2 linked regions of the Callithrix jacchus genome follow. The main gene of each other region encodes a partner of the protein of the gene in region 2 in a complex. Links are inferred from orthologs where the notes say so. Each region holds a gene or a part of one and is shown on either strand. Other genes may lie near its edges. The genes, in order: UNC13A and RIMS2.

Evidence for each region.
Region 1: the proteins of RIMS2 (region 2) and UNC13A are in contact, whole or in part, in a crystal structure (PDB 2CJS), measured with the Rattus norvegicus proteins. The link is inferred for Callithrix jacchus from reciprocal best matches to the Homo sapiens genes RIMS2 and UNC13A. Residues at the interface, in XP_063118965.1 of Rattus norvegicus: Asp102, Gly103, Cys104, Ser109, Gln112, Val123, Leu125, Ser127, Asn128, Lys129, Val134, Met135, Trp136; in NP_074052.2 of Rattus norvegicus: Tyr23, Ile36, Trp65, Leu69, Ile70, Trp71, Asp72, Thr73, Met74.

Annotation. Positions count from the first base shown.
Region 1 is NC_133523.1:16,370,836-16,381,411, forward strand, and holds part of UNC13A (protein unc-13 homolog A), read right to left. Parts: intron 10,190-10,576; coding exon 10,143-10,189; intron 7,222-10,142; coding exon 7,143-7,221; intron 6,620-7,142; coding exon 6,548-6,619; intron 6,378-6,547; coding exon 6,158-6,377; intron 5,052-6,157; coding exon 4,824-5,051; intron 3,670-4,823; coding exon 3,528-3,669; intron 3,402-3,527; coding exon 3,232-3,401; intron 1,078-3,231; coding exon 962-1,077; intron 1-961. UniProt on the Homo sapiens protein: Plays a role in vesicle maturation during exocytosis as a target of the diacylglycerol second messenger pathway.
Region 2 is NC_133517.1:93,419,586-93,430,920, forward strand, and holds the start of RIMS2 (regulating synaptic membrane exocytosis protein 2), read right to left. Parts: upstream 5,201-11,335; 5' UTR 5,051-5,200; coding exon 4,875-5,050; intron 4,127-4,874; exon of another isoform or gene 4,014-4,126; intron 1-4,013. UniProt on the Homo sapiens protein: Rab effector involved in exocytosis. May act as scaffold protein. Plays a role in dendrite formation by melanocytes.

The sequences.
Region 1 (10,576 bases), on a different chromosome or scaffold from region 2:
TAATCCACCTGTCCAATCATTCATTCTTCCATAAACCAACCATCCATCTACCCATCAACTTATCCATCCATCCATCTATGCATCTATTCTTCATCTGTCCACCAACTACTCACAACAATCCATCTATCTAAATACTCAAAAATTATAAACACTTTTCAATACTTTTAATAATTCAACCACACATCCTTCCATGCATCCACCCACCCACCCATCCATCCATCTACCTATCTACCCACCCAACTATCAACAAGTTCACCTATCTACTCATCCTTCCTTCTAATAATTCAACCACACATCCATCCATCCTATCCAATACAGCTTAACGTTCTCATCCAACAACTCATCTATCTACCCATTCAATCGTCTGTCCACCATTCTAGCTATCCACCTATCAAGTTATCCATCCATCATTCTTCTATATCCATCAATCATCTATCCAATTACCCCAAAATTCACCCATCCATGCATCTGTACTTCCAATAGTTCAATCACATATCCATCCATCTGTCCATCTATCATTCATCTAGTCACGAATCTACCCATCAACTCATCCATCTCTCCATCCATCCTTTCATCTACCTCCTCACTCATTCATCTATTCAATCATTCACTCATTCACCAGCATTCATTCAACAAACTAGATCCTGGGAATAGAGTTCTTTCCAGGAACCCCTAGGCAGCCGGAAGAGACATACCCAGACACAAACAGCCCAATCCTGAGTAGTTAGGGCTGGAACAGAAGGAAGAATCTGATGGTGAGTACTGAGAGTCAACCTGGAGGCCAAGGAGGGCTTCCCAGAGGAGGCGACCCTAAATCTGGACCTTGATGGATATAAAGGGAATGGCAGGGTAGGCAGTCTCAGAGGGCCAAGAGAGTGTGGATAGTGTGGCCAGAAAGAGGAAGGGCAGGAAGAAGTGGTGAGTGGAGGTGGCATGGGAGGGGCTGAGCAGTGAAGCTCACCTCGTGCAGACAGGTATACTGGACGTGATACGGGGCCACCTTCTCCTCGCCTTTGATCTCCACACTGATGTGGAGCCGGATGGCGCCCGACACGGCAGATTTGTCAGTTCGCTTATCTGCGGGGCAGAAAAGGATGACCAGAGTCAGAACTTCTCACTATAGCTGTGGGCAATTTTTAATAGATGCACGATTCCGTAGTCCTCCCAGACCTTTGGAAACTCAGGCCTGGGTGTTTCTCTTCTGATTGGCTCCCAGGCTTGAGTCTCTCTGCTTAGGCTAGAATTCCTTAAGCCCTGTTTCTCCCTTCAAACAAGGATCCCAGACCTTGCTTCTTCACTCCGATTAAGTTCCTGGGTGTGTGCCTCCCTCCTTAGGCTAGCAGCTCTAGGCCCTGCTTCTTGCCCAGTCTGAGCTCCCAGGACCTGCCTCCCCCATCAAATCACGCTCCCCAGAAGCTACACATCTTAGACACGGTTCCTGGGTCTGTGCCTCTCTCCTCTGACTAGGACCCCCAAGTCTTGTCTCCTGCCTTCCCCGTCAGAATGGGATATGTAGATTTCTTTCAACCTAAGAGATTTCTGGGCTCTACTCAACCCTCTCAGGCTGGGTCCTTTCAACCCCTTCAGATTAGGCTCATACACCCTGCCTCATTAGATTGGACTCCCCAGATTCTACTCATTTTCTTTTTGTTTTTTCTTTTTCCTTTTTTTTCGAGATGGAATCTCGCTCTGTAGCCCAGGCTGGAGTGCAGTGGCGTGATCTCGGCTCACTGTAACCTCTGCCTCCCGGGTCCCAGTTCAAGCAATTCTCCTACCTCAGCCTCCCAAGTAGCTGGGATTACAGGCATGAGCCACCATGCCCAGCTAATTTTTGTATTTTTTAGTAGAGATGGGGTTTCACCATGTTGACCAGTCTGGTCTTGGAACTCCTGACCAAGTGATCCACCCACCTTGGCCTCCCAAAGTGCTGGGATTACAGGCGTGAGCCACTATGCTGGCCTTTTTTTTTTTTTTTTTTTTTTTTTGAGATAGAGTTTAGCTCTGTCACCAGGCTGCAGTGCAGTGGTGCAATCTTGGCTCACTACAACCTCTGCCTCCCAGGTTCAAGCAATTCTCCTGCCTCAGCCTTCTAAATAGCTGGGATTACAGGCACAAGCCACCACGCCTGGCTAATTTTTGTATTTTTACTAGAGACACGGTTTCGTCATGTTGGACAGTCTGGTCTCGAACTTCTGACCTCAAGTGATCCACCCACCTCTGCCTCCCAAAGTGTTGGGAATACAGGCGTGAGCCACTGCACCTGGCCGAATTCGTTTTTTTGAGAAAGGTTCTCACTCTGTTCCCCAGGCTGGAGCGCAGCAGGGCGATCACAGCTCACTGCAGTCTTTACCTCAGGCTCAGGTGATCCTCACACCTTAGCTTCCAGAGTAGCTGGGACTAAAGGTGTGTGTCACCCTGCCCAGCTAATTTTTCTGTTTTATAGAGACAGGGTTTCACTATGTTCCCCAGGCTGGTCTCGAACTCCTGGACTCGATTAGCCTGCCTCAGCCTCTCAAAATGATAGGATCACAGATGTGAGCCACTGCCTGGTGCCCCCAACCTGGATTCCTTTTTTTTTTTTTCTGGAGATGGAATTTTGCTTTTGTTGTCGGGGTTGGAGTGCAGTGGTGTGATCTTGGCTCACTGCAACCTCCGCCTCCCAGGTACAAGCGATTCTCCTGCCTTTGCGTTCTGAGTAGCTGGGACTACAGGTGCCCACCACCATACCCGGCTAATTTTTGTATTTTTAGTAGAGATGGGGTTTCACCACGTTGGCCAGGCTGGTCTTGAACACCTGACCTCAGGTGATCCGCCCACCTCCGCCTACCAAAGTATTGGGATTATAGGTATGAGCCACTGCACCCAGCCCCAGCTTGGATTCTTAAAGCTCAATCTTCCTTCTTAGATTTGGTTTGCAGGTCTGTGCCTCTCCCTCAGACTAGGATTCCCAGGTCTTGCTTCCTGCCTCCCCCATTAGACTGGGACACAGAGATTCTGTCCCTACCCTCCTTTCTAAGCTGAGCTAAGAAATTTCTGGGCTCTGCTAAATCTCCCTGCCTGGGTGCTTCCTGCCTCCTCAGATTGGGCTCCTAGACCCTGCCTCCCCCATCAGATCGTGCTCCTTGACCAAACTTCTCTGGAGATTGCATCTCTCCCCTCTTCATGGGCTCCACACTCTGGCTAGATCCCTGGGACCCATCCCCATCCCTTTCAGAACCCGGCTTCTCTCACCCAGGTTGTACCACACGTCCATCTCGCCGCTGAGCGTCCGCACCTCAATGATCGTCTGCCCCAGGAAATCGTCAGATTCCCTCTTGAACCTCTGTTTCACACGGGATTTGATGTCATCATCCTCATCCCAGACGCGCACCTTGATGCGGTCGGAGGAATTGTGACATTCACTGTGGCGGGAGGAGGAGGCAGGGGTGGGGGTCAGGTGCCCAGCGTGAGCCCTGTCTTTGGAGCCCCCTTTCGGCTGTCCCAGCAGGGAGCCCCGCACGGGCCCAGGGACCCAGCCAGGCACTTACAAGTGGAAATTCTCCTCCCACACTGGGTTGAGGTTCCCATAGATGGTTTTTGTCCGTTTCTTGGTCTTCCCAACCTGGACGGTGACATAGGGGTCACTGGATCCCGTCTTGTCCTTTGCCTGCAAGCCCTGGGCACAGACCACTGGAAGACACAGAGGGCATACACAGGCGTGAGCTCAAGGAGCGAGGCATGCCGGGACAGTTGCTGCCACACGCTGCAGGCTGATAACAGGGACACCTGCAGCATGGCTGGAGAGCAATGGCAGGCATGCTGGACTTGCTAACGAGGTTTTTTGTTAGTTTGTTTTTGAGATGGAGTTTGCTCTTGTCACCCAGGCTGGAGTGCAGTGCCTTGAACTTGGCTCACTGCAACCTCTGCCTTCTGGGTTCCAGTGATTCTCCTGCCTCAGTCTCCCAAGTAGCTGGGATTACAAGCATGTGCCACCATGTCCGACTAATTTTTTTTTTCATTTTTAGTAGAGATGGGGTTTCAGCATGTTGACCAGGCTGGTCTTGAACTCCTAACTTCAGGTGATCCGCCCGCCTCAGCCTCCCAAAGCGCTGGGATTACAGGTGTGGGCCACCTCACCTCGCCTTGCTAGAGTTAACAAGGGGGGAGCACCCAACCCATGAAGAATGGGAAGGTGCCTCAGCCCGCTTGCCTGTGGGTGGGACCTCTTTCAGGTGTGTGCTCCCCGAGGTCGGACCCCCAGAAGAACCCATTGCCCCCGAGATCTCCTGCTCGTTGGCGCCCCCTGCAGGGTGCCTTCCCTCCCTGACTCACCACCCCAGCTTCATCCTGGGGTCACTTCCTGGATAACTCACATACCCTGAAATCCTCATCCTCGGAGCTGTTTATGGGTAAATCCACATGAGTCTGGGTGTGGAGAAATACCAGTATCCTCACCCCTGAGTGGGGCCACACTGAACTGCATGAATGACCCCAGGGTGGGCTGAGCTGGTGGCCTACAGCATGGTCTGCCCCACGGTGTCTCCTCCAGGGCACCTTCCAACCCTGTCTCAAGTCCTTGCCCCTCACCAGGGCTTTCTAGGGTCACTTTCCAGATAAACTATGCACCCACAATTCTTCTTGGGTCTCATTCTGGAGGGCACCATTCAAGACACACCCGGATACAGTCCCATGAACAGGCATTTGGAGGTACGCATGTCCCCCCATATGCGTGCACACACGGACATGGGATGGAATGGATGAGATCGAGGACCTGCTGCAAAGGAGAGGGACAGGCCTCAGCGGGTGGAGAAGGAGGGGCCCTGTGGCGGCCCCCGCCCCCTCACCAGTGATGCTGATCTTGGCGGACCACTTGGATGTGCCGTCCAGCACGCTCTGCTTGACCGCCTTCATCTGCTGCGTGTGCGCGGTCTTGGTCACCGCGAAGATCTCCTGGATGAGCTCGAAGATCTCGGGTTTGTTGCGCTCCCGGATCTTCATGCGGTCCTTGAGCACCATGATGATGTTCTGCGTCCGGTCCTCCGCCCCGTGCTTGGAGCTCTTCTCCGCGGCCCCTGAGGACGCCAGAGGCCGGCACTGACCCCAGTGCGCCTGCCCTGTGGCCCCTCACCAGGGCGAGGGCCCCGCCCCATACATCAACCGCGGGGGCTCCGGTGTCACCCCTGAAGCCGGTTTCCTACCTGCTCTCTGTACCACCCATCCAGACCCTTAGCCTTTCCGACTCCTCTCAGGCCACGCTCCTCTGAGCCCCCATGTCCCTGAGTCTTGCCCTTCTCTGCCTTCCGCCCCTTGGAATCCCCACAGGTTTTTGGCACCCCTAAGCCGCACCCCTCTAAGTCCCCGTCCCCTCTCTGAGCCCCACCCCTTTGAGTCCACGCCCCATCTGAGCCCCACCCCTGATCCCCGCCCCCTCTCTGAACCCCACCCCTCCGAGTCTCCACCCCCTCTCTGGGCCCTACCCCTTTGAGTCCCCGCCCCCTCTGAATCCCACCTCTCTGAGCCCCACCCCCTGAGTCTCCACCCCCTCTCTGGGCCCTACCCCTCTGAGTACCCGCCCCCTCTCTGAGTCCCCACCCCCTCTGGGCCCCACCCCCTCTGGGCCCCACCCCGAGTCCCCACCTCCTCTGAATCCCACCTCTCCGAGCCCCACTCCTCTGAATCCCCTCCCCATCTCTGATCTCCACTCCTGTGAGTCCCCTGCACATCTCCGAGCCCCCCTTCTCTGAGACCCCTCCGCCTTCCAACTCCCTCCTCCACAGTCCTCTCTCACTCTGAGCCCCTTCCTTCTCTGAGCCCCTCTTCCTCTCAGAGCTACCCCTAGCTAACCCATTTTTATCCAGGGGAGCCGCCTCTTCTCACTAAGCCTGTCCTTTGCACCACCTAGCTAGTCCCTGAGCTCTCCCCCATCCCTCTCTGACACCCTCGCAGCTTCTTACCCCATCCCTCGACGCCCTAGCCCTTTCCCCAGGGAGTTTTGTCCCTTCAGCCCCACCCCTCCCCTTCAGCGGGTCCCTCCCTTGCCCCACGACTCCCCGCCCCTGCCCCGCCCCATGGTGCCCCACCCATGGCCTTGCTCCTTCAGGCTTTCTTCCAATGCAAGCTGCAAGCCCCGGCGCTTCCCACGCCAACCCGCAGCCCTGCGCTCGGGCCCTGCGCTTACGCTGCAGGCAGTCGGCGTTGAGCAGGTCCTGGCACTTCTCGTGGCACTTGACGCCGCACTCGGTGCAGCGCATGCCCTGCCTCGCGATGCCCCACAGCAGCCCCTCGCACTCGTAGCAGTAGGTGGGCGTGGTGGCCGTCCACACCTCGAAGTTGTGCGGCGTCGTGCATGAGATGGGATAGATTAAGGCTTGCAGGGTCTTCTTGTAAACGTGGTTTTTCTGCAGGGAGGGAGGGGTGCGGTTCGGGGCCCTAACCTCGTGCTGTCCCTGTCTTGCTCCCCTCCCCTCCCTGCCTCCTCTTCCCGCGGACCCACAGAGGTTTAGACACTTCCAGAAGCTCCCAGCCCAGTTCATCCCTGACCCCGGGGAAAAAGAGGTGCCCCACGTACCAGCTCCTCGTTGTTCAACGTGCTGGAGGCCAAGGCCGAGGTGATGCCCGCTTTCCTGGACTGGACCAGGGACTAGGGAGGTCACAGAAGAGGGAGTCGGGGGGTTGACATCCATGAGATCACCACCGGGAAGGTTCACAGCCACACATGGGGCCCGAAGCCATATTTTGGAGCCGCAACCGCAAATTGGAAACAGGTCACCGACAGCATCCGGGCCAGACCCAGTAAAGAATTAGGAGATGATGGAGGCTTTGAGTTAGAAGGGACCCTGGAAAGTGAGCAGCCCCACACCCCGACTCACAGCCTCCAACACAGAGGGACAAGGCAAGGTTCCCCCAGAAACCATGAAGTGGGGGCCTGTTACAAGATCCCAGTGGGGCAGTTTGGGGAGAAGACCCCAGGGAGCCCATGTCACCATCACTCACCATGGCCTGAAGTGTCCACGCAGCACATGGGGGTAGAAATCAGACTACATTAGTCTCAGAGAATGCCTAGCTAGTCCCCAACCCCAGGTTGACCATGGGCAGTTGCACAGGTTGCACACTGCTTATAGCAGGCCTGCTCTGCTAGGGGAGTAAAGTGGGCGGGTGCTTACCAGGTCACTCACGAGCGGGATAGGTTTCCTCTTGCGGATGTCAGGCATGCTGTCGATGATGATGAGACCGCCCCCTGGGCTGCAAGACATAGAGGGACATTGAGGGCCCAGCTGTCCCTATTCCTCACACAGACATCACCTGAGCCGTGGGGAGAACACTCAACCTCCCCAGGTGTTAAGGGGTTGAATTGGGTCCCACAAAAAAAGATACATTGATTCCTTAACCCTTACTACCTCAGAAAGTGACCTTATTTGGAAATGGGGTTGTCACAGATGTAATTAGTTAAGATAAGGTCATATGGGGCTAGGGGAGATGCTTCATCTAATATGACTGGTGTCCTTAGAAGAGAGGGATGGAAAGAAGGTGGCTTCGTGGCAACAGAGGCAGAGAGTGACGATCTACAAACAAGTATCTTCTTGGTGGCCAAGGATTTCAAGCAAACACCAGAAGCTACAAGAGGCAGGGGAGGAATTGTCTTCTACAGATTCCAGAGGGATCGTGGCCCAACCAGCGCCTTCATTTCAGACTTCTGGCCTCCAGAATTGCGAGACAAAACACTGTTGTGGTTTTAAGCCACCCGTCTGTGGTACTTCGTGATAGCAGTTCTAAGAAATGGAGACCCCAGGGCCGGGCGCGGTGGCTCACGCCTGGAATCCCAGCACTTTGGGAGGCTGAGGCGGGTGGATCACGAGGTCAAGAGATCGAGACCATCCTGGTCAACAAGGTGAAACCCCGTCTCTACTAAAAATACAAAAAATTAGCTGGGAATGGTGGTGCCTGCCTGTAATCCCAGCTACTCGGGAGGCTGAGGCAGGAGAATTGCCTGAACCCAGGAGGCGGAGGTTGCGGTGAGCCGAGATCGCGCCATTGCACTCCAGCCTGGGTAACAAGAGCGAAACTCCGCCTCAAAAAAAAAAAGAAATGGAGAGCCTCGATTTCCTCATCTGAAAAATGGGGACATAACGTAGTTGCCCACTTGAATGAAATGTAAGTTAAGACAAACCTAAATTATATACTAAAATATAAACGAAACCTTTTTTTTTTTCCGAGACAGAGTCTCGCTCTGTTGCCCAGGCTGGAGTGCAGTCCTTCGATCTCAGCTCACTGCAACCTCCTGAGTTCAAGCGATTCTTGTGCCTCAGCCTCCCAGGTAGCTGGGATTACTGTCACACGCCACCGCACTGGGCTAATTTTTGTATTTTTAGTGGAGACGGGCTTTCACCATGTTGGCCAGGCTGGTCTTGAACTCCTAACCTCAGATGATCCACCCACAACCTCAGGTGATCCACCCACATTGGCCTCCCAAAGTGCCGGGATTACAGGCATGAACTACTGCACCTGGCCCACACCCAGCTAATAAAAAAAAAAATCTGGGCTGGGTACAATGGCTCATGCCTGTAATCCCAGCACTTTGGGAGGCAGAGGCAGGCAGATCACCTGAGGTCGGGAGTTCAGGACCAACCTGACCAACATGGGGAAACCCTGTCTCTACTAAAAATACAAAAATTAGCTGGGTGTGGCGGTGCATGCTTGTAATCCCAGCTACTTGGGAGGCTGAGGCAGGAGAATCGCTTGAACCCAGGAGGTGGAGGTTGCCGTGAGCGAAGATCGCACCGTTGCACTCCAGCCTGGGCAACAAGAGCAAAATTCCATCTCAAAAAAAAAATTTTTTTTTTTTAAGAGATGGGGGTCTCACTATGTTGCCAAAGCTGGTCTTGAACTCCTAGTCTCAAGCGATTCTCCAGCCTCACCCTCCCAAGTAGCTGGGATTATAAGCATGCACCACCACACCCAGCTAATTTTTGTATTTGTAGTAGAGACGGGGTTTCTCTATGTTGGGCAAGCTGGTCTCAAACTCCTGACCTCAGGTGATCCACCTGCCTCAGCTTCCCAAAGTGCTGGGATTACAGACATGAACCACCACACTCGGTTCCAAAAGGTTTTCACTGGCTAATGAGATAGGTGCCTGCAGCCAATGACTCCAGACAAGCCCACAGGGCCATTCATGCTACCAAGCTTTCTGCAGGAGCCGACTGAGCTTAGAGACGCCTAAGCCACATCTTTTCTCGGCGGTCTCCCTTAGTCTGACAGCTTTCTCCTGAGAGAAATATCCTTCATAAATCACATGCACAGCAATCCCCATTTCAGGCCCTGCACCCCAGGCTCTCTAGCTAGGGCACCTGCTCATTTAGGAGTGCCAGCTGCTGTCTCCCTGCCTGTTTGCAAAGGGTGTACAAGGAAGGTCACTATCGTGCTGCTATTTTAAAACCTGAGCATATTTTAAAAATATCCTGTGCATCCTCTAACCTGAAAATCTGTAACATAAGAAGTTAGATGTGACCACATGCCCCATTGAAGACTTTAAGAGTCCCCACCGTAGCAATAATTGAAGAGATTTAAAAATAGACTCAAAGCAAAAAACTTTGCTCTGGGATTACAAATATATAGTGTATATTTCCCAATAATGTCTAGTTCCTAACAGTGTCTGCTTTATATATTTATTTGTTCATTTTTGAGACAGTGTCCCTCGCTGTTGCCCAGGCTGGCGTGCAGTGGTGCAATCTCGGCTCACTGCAACCTCTGCCTCCCGGGTTCATGCAATTCTCCTGCTTCAGCAACCCAAGTAGCTGGGATTACAGGTGCCCGCCACCATGCCCGGCTAATTTTTGTATTTTTAGTAGAGACGGGGTTTCACCATGTTGGCCAGGTCGGTTTCAAACTCCTGACCTCAAATGATCCTCCCACCTCAGCCTCCCAAAGTGCTTGGATTATGGGCATGAGCCAGGGCACCTGGCCCTATCTTCAAAGATGACTGTCTTTTGCATCTGCATATCGTTGTGTGCCTTTGAAATTGACATATTGTGCCCAAGCTCCATCTGTCCCCCGTCTAGATGGAACCCCTCCCCATCCTCTCTGGGCTGAGGCTCAGGCGCGAACCAGCCTTGAGCTCAGCTCGGGGTTCAAAACTTCCTCCCACCACTCATAGTTCCATCACTCACCCGCCTTTGAACCACAGAGATTTGGACATCTCTCCTTCTCCCCGGGCCTGCAGGACAGACAGACAGATACGGCCAGTGTGGTCGTCCCTCCCCTCCCCACAGCAGGCTCCACACCCACTTCTGATCCCCTCTGGGCTGGGAGTCAGATGGCCTGGATCCTAGTCCTGGCTGAGTGATTTTAGGAAGCTCCCTGGCTATCTCTGGCCTTAGTTTGCTCATCTGTAAGATGGGCTGGGGGAGAAAGAAGCGCCTCTCTTTCACCTACCTCAGTGGAGCTCAGTGTCTTCATTGGTTACTCCTTAAACTCCCTACAGTCTCACAGTCTCACTGGTTCATCTGCTCTCGTGCCCCAGGCCCTTTCCAGGAGTTGTGACTTCAGCTTGTATGCCCTCTTACCTTCCACACCCAACCAGCCTCTGTTTATCATTCAGGTC
Region 2 (11,335 bases):
ACTGAGTTGGCAAGGATGTGAGAAAGTCCCCTTAGTACATGTCACTTATACATACACCCTCTACAAAAGTAAATTTTGCGATATTTATTAAATTTAAAATATATTAACCCTTTGACCCAACAACTTTGTTTCTAGGAATCTGTCTCAAATATACATTCATACAAATAGAAAATGTATGTACAAAGATATTTTTCACAGATAATACTGTGGTAAATACTAAAAATTTCTAATGACAAAATACTTAGAAAAAAACTTAAATACCCACAAATATGGTACTAAAGAAACTACGGAATATTCATTAAAAGGGATAGTATGTATCCTATATCCATTAAAATTAATGAGGCAGCTATACAGTCACAGATGTGGAACTGATCTCCCAAAAAGCCAACTGCAAGTCACATTTGTGTTTTTATCTTTACATCCATCTGTACATACATGTATGTGCACACACATACACACATATACAGACACACACAATATTATATATATACATGTATTTATTCTTATGCATAGACTGTCACTGAAAGAGTATACAATATAAAATACTGGTAATACTAGTTGGCTTTGGGTGGGGGAAAAAGGTAGCTAAGAAATTTGGGGGGTGGCTCACACCTGTAATCCAAACACTTTGAGAGGCCAAGGCAAGAGGATCATTTGAACCCAAGAGTTCAAGACCAGGCTGGGTTTAGGGAGACCTCATCTCTACAAAAATAAAAAATAAATTAGTCGGGTGTCATGACACCTGTTTGTAGTGCCAGTAACTCCAGAGGCTGGGGTGAGAGAATTGCTTGAGCCCCAGGAGGTCGTGGCTGCAGTGAGCTGTTACTGCGCCACTCCACTTCAGCCTGGACCTCAGAGCAACAAAAATGAAAGAAAGAAAGAAAAGAAAGAAAAGAAGAAAGAAAGAAAGAAAGAAAGAAAGAAAGAAAGAAAGAAAGAAAGAAAGAAAGAAAGAGAGAGAAAGAAAGAGAGAAGGAAAGAAGGAAAGAAAGAAAGAAAGAAAGAAAGAAAGAAAAGAGAAGAGAAGAGAAGAAAAGAAAGAAGAAGGAAGGAAAGAAAGGAAAGAAAGAAAAAAAATTTTATTTCAAAATTTTATAAATTAACTTTGGAAACTACTTTTAAAATTGAAATTTTTTTAAAATGTAGAACTGCTCACTTGTATGTTAAATATATACTAATCATTACCCTAATCTAGCAGGAAAATTTTTACTTATTGCCTTCCTCCTTTATTTCGGGAGCAAATTAACTCTTTAACAGAAAATCTAAACTGCCAGTGAAAAGAAAATATACACATTAAGAAACACATAATTTCTAATTTGTGTAATCTGAAAGACTATGATATGCACATATTAGAAACAATATTTACTGAATGAATACTTTTCTATTGATTTAATGGGTTTGCTTTCCTCATACATTTTTTCACAATTACACAAAAAATCCCACTGGAAATTCAACTTTTAAAAGTTACGTATTTATTTCAAACAATGGTTCTTCATTGTCCCACAAAATTGATAAGCTACCTCCTTAATATTACCACAATTCAAATAAACATAATTTATTAAGTATCTATTATGTGAAGGTGTTAAGGATGTTGCAAAATACAAACTAAAAAAAAGGGTAAATTTTGATTCTTGCCCTCAAGAAGTTTACAATCTTGAAAGACAAGACTTAAGAACATTATTCAGATGTCTTGGAAGATTGAAAAAAAACATTAATCAGTAAAAAGACATTATAAATTTTACTGATGGACTGAATTAGCCAAACTAAAACTGCTACAGGAATACATGAAAGGATTTTTTTAAAGTAATTACTGATCAGGGATCTACTAAGATTTTTAAATGCTTGCAAAATTATAGTAACTCGCTCATATGTAAAACGGTATTATTTGATGATGATGCATTTCCTATATGGATGTTCAGCTGGACTTTGATTAAATTACTAATAATTATGTATAATTTTTAATTATTCAAGCTCCTAAGGTGAGAGATTACAATAATAGTCTCAGTTTTAAATACTCACTGTCTTATTAAAAATATCTCAAGCATTAATCTTTTAATACATGCATATTTACTTATAAATTATATGCATCTAAGTATTGTCCATCTATATATTAAATATTAACAAGGTTCAGATTCATTCTTTTCTCCACTTTGTCTGAATACTTAACATGAAAATTGAAACTCATAGATCATGCAAAAATATTTTTATCTAACCATTGCAGTATCTTCACACATCAAACATTTTTTAACATAATTGTTAAAAGGCAGCAGACATGCATTTAAATTTCAGTTTCTTTTTCTCTCTACTCTTAGAATACATGTTAACACCCAACGTAATGAGCAGCACTAAAAAGAAACAAAGGATAGTAATGACCAAATAAGTGGGCCCCAAAACTTCATGGGAAACAGTAATCATTGAAGAAGGTTAGTATTATTTTTCTTATATATTTGTTATTTAATACCCAATATTGATAATATGTTATTTAACAAACTGTCAAATTCTTAAAAATAATTTGTCTCTCATTACAATAATTCTATTATAAAGTCTATTCATTTCATTTTCCTTGCCTACTCTTTCATTAAAAAAATTAAGAACATTTAGAACTAAATCTCCAAATAAATATATTATGCTTTAACCTCCAAATAACTTTTTGTTAAAATAAATATAACAAGAATTCTGAGACCATGAAAGCCATTTTGAGATAAGACACCTTTCTAAGACTAAGTTAGGTAGCAATGCAAATAAATATTTCAAATAAATCTATATATATATTTTTCATCAATGTAATTTTATAGATTGTATGAAAAATGTACTTAGAGAACATTTGTTTCTATCTAACCTATGGAAATATGAATATGTAAATATTATATGTATTTGAATAGTATGTAGGTTTACATATAGATATTATACATGTAGCTACCTGAAAAACCCTATTACATCTTCTTCTTAATATACTGTTGATTTTGAATAATCCTAATTCAATACTTAAAAGTCCACTTATATTTCTATATTAAACAATAAATAGAACTACAGTGAACTAGCCAATAAACACTAAGGTTTAGCATACTATGAAGAAATAAAAACACATTTTATATTAAATATGTAAGTCAAAGAAATAAAACTACATTTTATTGGAGCATCATTTTGGAGACACTTATTTTTTTCAATTATACTAAAAGGCATAAGTTCATATATTTAAATATCAAAGTGCAAGTCATCAAAAGCTTGATATTGTTAGTATACAAAATAAAGTTAAGCAAAGTAAGAAGTATGCCCAAAAAAGCTTCTAAAAATAATGCTTTATTCTTCTATTAGTTGGAGTAAACTGCTTAAGTCTCTTAATTTCTTTACATCCCAAGGCTGTTAATAAATAACATTCCCAAATTAGTATTCAACCCCAGAAATTAACTTTCACGTAGAAACTATTAATTTCAGTTATGTCAGGAACATATTTGCTGTTTTAGTCCCTCAATATTTTGTGAGAAATAGTATCTTTAGATTTATGAATATTTGATGTTTGTTACCATAAATTATTTAAAGTAGGATTTTTCATTAAAATATGAAAATATATACCTATTGACAACGAAACTTGTTCCTTTGTAAGTACATGAAAGAATACTAAATTCAACAACATGTTTTTAAATTTTACCTGAGTAGAGGTGAGTGTATTAGTTCCTTCATAGAGGAACTCCACACTTTCACTTGTATGTGTCTGTGGAGAATACGGGAAACATATACTTGACAAGACGCAAAAGAACATCCCACCTTTGGTATATACACTGTAAGTTAATCTCTCAGTGAGTAACTCATTTCAAGTAAAAAGAAAAAAGCCATCTGGGAAAACATAAAAAAGGTTACACGCCTTCTGAACAACCTCTTTCACAAACTAACTGACACATCAAATAACCACAAAACATTTAAAAGCAAGTCCTGCAGAAACCACTATCTTTGCTAGACTAACCAGAAAAGGAGTCTCGGAGCTAAAGATAGCCCTGTCTGGACAGTTCCCTGGTGCTGAAGTTCCAGAGCCAGTAAACGGATGCCTGGGTGCTGTTTTCACTCCTCCCACCCTCGGGGGAAAACCGGGCTGCCAAGACTGTGAGCACGGAGAGTAGAACTTCACAAGGTAGGCAGCATCCCAAACCGCAGGGATGGTAGGAACTGGAGTCTCTTCAGGATTAAACAGATTTACTAGTTGCAAACAGGAAGAGCAGCAGAGTGCAGGGTGTTAGCGCTTGCCAAGGGGGAGGGGCTGGAAGATGGCGGCGGCCGCACACCCACCCGAGACGCGACAGAGCTTAGGCCCCTCGCCCACGCCGCCGCCCGCTGCCCGCAACCACCGCGGGCAGCCCTGCTCTGTCCCGCGTTGCTGGCAGAGCGGCTCCGCGGAGACGGAACCACGGGTCCCCGGCGGCGTCCGCATCCCCGGCCGGAGCGCCTTCGCCCGGGTCCGGCCAGGGAGCACCTGTGCACGGCCATATTGGATTCCGTGCCCCAGTCAATGCCTCCGCGCTCAGGCGGCGGGAAAGGAGAGCGGACGCGCAGTGCCCGGGTTCGGCCCCGGTCCCGCTGGGGCCCCGGAGCCAAGCTGACCAGCGGGGAAATCCGAAAAGGCGCCGGGGAAAATCACACCGCCCTACGGCCCGCCACCCTCACCTCAGCCGGCCTCGGTTCCCTCCCTCCCCGACACACACCCCCCGCTCTCAGACACCCAGCAAACAGCCGGGGCGGCCGGCGCTGGCCGCAGCCCTCGTGGCCCGGGCGCCGCGGGCGGGAGGGAGGGCGGCGATCCCCGGCGCGCAGGCGGCCGCAGGGCAGCGGCCGAGGGGGCGGAGGGCAGGGAGAGAGGCGGGAACATGGAGTCAGATCCTTACTTGAGCACGGACTGCTCCTTCTCCTCTTCTTTCTTCTGTCTGTCCATGACGGCCAGGATGATTTTCCTCTCCTCCTCCGTGAGGTGGCTGAGGTCAGGCATCTCGGGCTGCAGAGGCGGCTGAGAGGCCGCCGGGGTGGGAGCCAGGCGGCCCCGGGGCCCGACAGGAGCCGACATGTTTGGTGGAGCCGAACCGCCCTAGGGAAGCGGTGAGGCAACTCCGGTGGCAGCGGCGACACCGGCGCGGCGGCTGGGGCAGCCTCCAGCGCTGGGACAAATACATACAAATCAATGGCCTTCAATCCAAGGCGACAGCCCCCCTCCCCCAAGAAAGAGCAGGGGGAGGGGAGGGCGAGCGCGTGGGGAGGGAGGGCTCAGGAGTGCGCTTCGGGAAATGTTTCTTCTTCCCGGGGGCGGAAGGACTGTGAAGTGAGCGGTTCAAAGGAGAGGGGAGCGGGAGGCCGGGACGCGGAGTGAGCGGAGCGGTGGGGGAGGGCGGTGGAGTAAGGTGGCGGGGACGGCTCGGGGTGGGGTGACTAGAGGGAGCAGGCGGGAGGGCGACTACGGACCGGGGCGCGAGTGTGTCCGGCCGCGGTGGGGGTCGGGAGCGCGCGCGCCGCCTCGGAGGGGAAGGGTGCCTGCGAACCAGCCCCCCGGGGAGTCGCTGCGAGCCTCCAAAGTACCGCCGGCCCGAGAGGCACCCAGGCGGGAGCGGAGAGGGTAGTGAGGAAGCGGGGGCTCAGCCTTCCCGCCGGCTGACGCGTCACAGGGCTCCCGCGCGCCACGGAGGGAGGACTCCTCCAGGCACGCCCGGAAGGGGGCCGTGGGGCCGGAGACCCCAACCCCACCCCGCCAGCTAAAGTAGAGAAGCAAAAGCGGAGAAGGAATGACGGGGGCTAGCGGCGGAGAGTCCCGGGGCCAGGGCCCATCGGGTGCCAACGCCCGGATCCAGGCGAGCAGCTCCGACGTGCAGCGGGGCCGGGCGCCAGCCCCTCCTCATCACGCGCCAGCCCAGGGTCGCTCGGCCGCCGCCGCCGCCGCCGCCCCTTGGGTCCAGGGAGTCGGCGCGGAGGGCCCGCGCTCCCTGCGCCGCCGCGCTCACCTCCTCCGCCCCTCCGCCTCCCGGGCTCTTCCCGCGGGGCCGCGTCACCTCCTCGCCGCCTAGGCCGGGGCACCCCGCAGGCGGCAGCCGCCCCTCCCTGAGCGCGACCTCCGGGCTGGGGCCCCGGCCAGGCGGGGAGGGAGGGGAGACTGAGTGTTCGGGGATTGAAGTGTGGAGAATGCGTGCGTGTGAGGGACGCCTGAGGTGTCGGGAGCGGAGAGAAGGGTATGAGTCGGGGTGGGGTCTGGGGTGCCAGGTGTGGCTGGTGGGGAGGTGAGGGCCCCCAAAGGACCGGGAGGGGCGGGGAGCGTGAGGGTGGAGTCAGGGCTGGAGCTGAAGGCGGGTGCCGGGAGGGGTCGCCCAGGTGTCAGGCCCTAAGGAGAAAGAGGGAGCGAGCGTGGCTGGAGGGCCCCCGAAGTGTCGGGGCGGGATCCTGGAAGGAGGGAGGAGGTGAGTAGGGAAGAAGGGTCCCCAGGGTGTCAGGGGTGGGAGCCAGGAAAGGGGGAGAGAGCTGGAGGCCCTCCAGGAGTAACAGCGGGGCAGAGAGGTTGCAGCGAGTGGCAGACGCTGGTGGTGTCGAGGGGCGCAGGGCTTGAGGAAGTTGTGGAAAAACCCGAGCTTGACGGACGAGAACGTGCAGAGGGATCCTGAGGGGAGGACGCGGGGAGAGACGGGGAGAGTTAGGGTTGGCTGGGAGGGTGCGAACCGGACGCGACCGGTAAAGGCTAGGAAGGTGAAAGGACTTAGAATGGTCCCGAGAGAGGGGCTGGGCCGGTACTGAGGCCAAAGTTTCTGTCTGCCTGGCCCTTTTTAGCGCTCACGCTAGTCTAGAAAGAAGAGGCAGAGACGCGACGAGATTGGGTTAGAGTCAGAGTCTGATTTTCGTAGCACGGAGATAGGTTCAATGAAAGAGGACAAGGGAAGACAAGAAACCAGCGTCTGGAGAACGGAGGTGGCCACTGCCGTCCTTTGCGCTTCGCGGGGCTGGGCGGCGCCCTGAGAGCCCTCCCGGAGGGAACGGGGCGGGGCGGGGGGCACGGGTCCGGGTGGACGGTGCTAGGCAGCCTCGCTGGCTCTTCCGGGCGCCCTGGGCAAGCACTGCCGGTGACTGAGTTGGGGTGTGTGTGCCAGTGTGTGTGTACCCAGGTGAACGTGTGTGCGCACCCCACCCAGCCTTCCACACGCGCACGCTGCTTAGTACCACGTCAGATTGTGTGCTGATGAGTAACGTAAAGCCTTTGAGGTTTATATTATATTTACCTTCTTGGTGTGTAGTAAGCGCTCTCCCTCCTCCCTCTGTTCCCCAGGCACCATCTGACTAGCTCCCCATTTAAGAGAGCTGGGGATAGGCAAAGCAGCCCTGGAAGTCTCCTGTGATTTCTAAGCTTAAATGTCTATTTTTATTTTCTCCCATGCCTTGTAATTGGGAAGAGGGAAAAGTTTACTTAAGAGCTGTTTTTTAAATTATTACTCACTTGTTTCAAACAACACTCCAGATAATTCCATTTTCATCTCTTTGGAGCTTAGCAAATCAGATCAAATTATATGAATCCCAGTTTATTTAATTTTGTTTTAGAGTTCAACAATTTTTCTGAATTTCTAATCCAACCTCATCATCCTATGGGAAACAGAAGACCACCAAGAACAGCTAGCTGGTAAGTAGCAGGGCTGGAACTAGAACCTAGATATTTTTAATCCACTTTGAAACCATGCCAGTTTTCAACCTTAGCTGCACACTAAAATTACCTGGATTACTTTTTTTTTTTTTTTTTGCCAGTCATCTGAGTTGAAGATTCACTGGGTCACTTTTTTAAAATATCACGTAACAAAAGAATCAGACTCTGGTGTTAGGGTCCTGGCTGTGGATATTGTTTGAAAGTTCCCCAAGTGACTAAGGTATAGCAAATATTGAGAACTATACTATTTGCATCACAAAATAGATAATGGAGAAGGAAAAAAAGTGTCAAACTAAGAAAAAAAAAGTGACAACTAAAAACAACCCTTTGGATAACAGAATATTTTTACCGGAAATTGAAATTGACTTTTACTATCCATATTTTCACTACGCAGTGACAGGTACCAGTAAATACATGTATCTTTGACTTTCACCTAGGAAACCCTAAGTGCTGCTAAAATACACTAACTGCTCCTTTAAAAGAGAGGAGAGCAGAACTAAAAATAATCGAAAGGAATGGCTGGAACAGTCTACCTTATTCAACTATTTCTATGCCAGATTTGAAAAAACAAACACCGCTTCCCACCCCCAGCCAACTATCAACCCAAGCAGAACCAGAAGCCAGAATATACACACTGCTCAGAGGTTTAAACTTTTTGAAGTTAAAATAGCTTAGTTATTTTAAGTCTATAAAATGTGAACTTCAAAGTTGTGGTACAAATTAGACAATTTTGGCTTCCTTTACAGTAAAGGGTCACCCCCTGGGTCCTGCACTGTTTTCTAGCAGTCATATGGTTAGCATGCTGAGTGCCTGAGGCTGTGTCTCCCTGCACCCCCACCCATGCCTCACCTGCCAGGAGACAGTGCCAGCTTATGAAATACAATGGGCATGAGCCAGTATCACTGGAACATCTGACTTCTTACTGAAATGAAGCAGAAGTGAGTGGGGTTACTGTTACTGTGTTTCCTTTTCACAGTTTTTACTACAACTAGATGTGTTTTTCCTATTAAAGGGACTACTTAGGAGTGGAAGTCTTTTAAAATTATCTTTCACTGTTATTCACACACTTGGATGAAATAAAAATTTGTCACAGTATTTATATATCACTACATAGAATATACATTATATAGAATTTTAAAATTGGCTTTAGCATAATAAATGAACTACTTTTCAAAGTACTTGCCCCAGTTTGACAAGATTGCTAGGATCAGAACTAAAGAAAGAAAATGTATTCACAAGATCTCTGTCTTTTGTTCTTTCTACAATACGGATCTTAGAGGTGTTTTGTTTGTTCTGGTACAGTGTTTTACTTAAAATCTTCATCACATATGACTTTGTCTTTTACAGCATTATCTTCTACTTTGGCATGTCCCTCAGTGTATGAACACATTTAAAGTTGAGTCAAAACTGCAATATTCTCGTTTAACTTTATAAGTAACAGCTGTCTTCATCATTGAATTTTCAAGGTCTTGACAGGCTATAAACTAATCCCAAAATACATGTCCTGGCCAGGCCCTGTGGTTTACACCAGTAATCCCAGTACTCTGGAAGGCCAAGGCAAAAGGATCTCTTGAGCCCAGGAGTTCAAGGATACAGTGAGCTATGATTGCTCCACTGCACATCAGCCTGAGTGACAGGGTGAGACCCTGTCTTAAAAAATAGGCTGGCCAGCACAGTGGCTCACATCTGCAATCCCAGCACTTTGGGAGTCCAAGGCAGGTGAATCACCTGAGGTCGGTAGTTTGAGACCAGCCTGACCAACATGGTGAAATACCGTCTCTACTAAAATACAAAAAATTAGCCAGGCCTGGTGACAGATGCCTGTAATCTCAGTCACTTGGGAGGTTGAGGCAGGAGAATCGCTTGAGCCTGGGAGGCAGAGGTTGCAGTGTGTGGAGATCAGGCCACTGCACTCCACCCTAGGTGACAGAGCAAGACTCCGTCTCAAAAAATAAAATAAAAAGCAAACAAAAAAAACGCAAGTCCTTTCTGCAGTTCCTATAGGCCCTTGAAGCCTATGAGTCTGTGGACTTTCATTTTTACATATGCATAAGGGCTACTTGTAATCTAGTAAATAAGTATTAGGAGGTATATCTAAAGTCACAAACTAAAATACTTACCTCACTAGAATTTACTGAAAGAACCTAGTACTCCGCTACAAAACTGGTTGTTTCACAACGCTCAGAATCATTGCAGCACCCCTTACTGCACGCAAATATATTTAGATGGTTGGCATTTCTATAGTTTCTCATAACAGGTCTCCCTGCTTCTATGCTTGCAGCTCTATAGTCTCAACACTGCACAAAGAGAAAACCTCCTAAAACATTAGATCAAAACACTCTGCTGATCAAAATCCCAAGGTGGCTCCCCATTTTATTCACAAGAGTTCCTTAAATGGCTTACAAGTCCCACATGATCACTGACCTCATCTCCTAGTACTTATTTTGTTTGTTTGTTTTTGTGTGTGTTTTCTCAAGACAGAGTTTTGTTCTGTCACCCAGGCTAGATTGCAATGGTGTGATCTCGGCTCACTGCAACCTCCGCCTCTCAGGTTCAAACAATTCTCTGCCTCAGCCTCCCGAGTAGCTGGGATACAGACACCTGCCACCACGCCCAGCTAATTTTTGTATTTTTAGTAGAGATAAGGTTTCACTGTGTTGCCCAGGCTGGAGTTCAAGAACTCCTGAGTTTGTGATCCACCCGCCTCAGCCTCCCAAAGTGCTGGGATCATAGGTGTGAGCCACCGCACCTGGCCCCATCTCCTAGTACTTTTTAGGCTTTCCTCGAGCGGTTCCCTGTGCCTAGAGTACCCTTCACTAAGATACTCACTTGGTTAAATCCCTTGTCCTCAAATTTTTGCCCAATTGTTCATCCTATTTAATACTCCTACTTGCCCCACACCCTTCCTGGTCATTATGATGATCTTCTTTACCTTACCCTACTTTTTCTTTTTCCCACAGCACTTACCACTCTCTCTGACAACTGTATTTTTACACAAAGTTAAATATATACCCATTTATTATATTTATCATCTACTTCCTCATACTTGAATATAAGCACAAGAGCAGAGTATGAATTTTATTAATGTATCCCAAACACTTAGAACAATACATGGCACATGGTAGGTATTCCAGCAAATATTTGTTCAATGAATTTCTGGGAAGAGGATTTGATATTATTATACTGGTCTGAGTTGGGAATCAAATGGGAAAAAGCATTCTCAAAAGAGGGAAAAGCAGTGTGAATAAGATCTAACGTCTTTGCCAAGGTGTACAGATTCCTTTAGGATTCAGTCACTGTCTACCTCTCTAGCCTAGCTTCCAAAACAGCCTACAAACACATCTTCCTTTTCAGCCATGACAATCTACTTGCACTTTACTCAATGTGTGAATTTTCTCATCTCTGTGACTTTCTATTCCCTCAGTTTAGATCACTTTTTCTGCTTCCTCTCTCATAACTTTCTTAACTTCTTTATCCTCACCATATACTCATCCTTCCCTCTCCTCTTCTTCCACCTCTTTTCCCTAGACTGTGATACCAATGTACCTACTGTGCTCATAGATAGCACTTGTCACAGTATGTTGTATTTCCTTGTCTGTCTCCTTGACTGAACCATGAATTCTTTTATTTTTATCTTTTATATATATATATTTTGAAATTAAATATGGAATGCTTCATGAATTT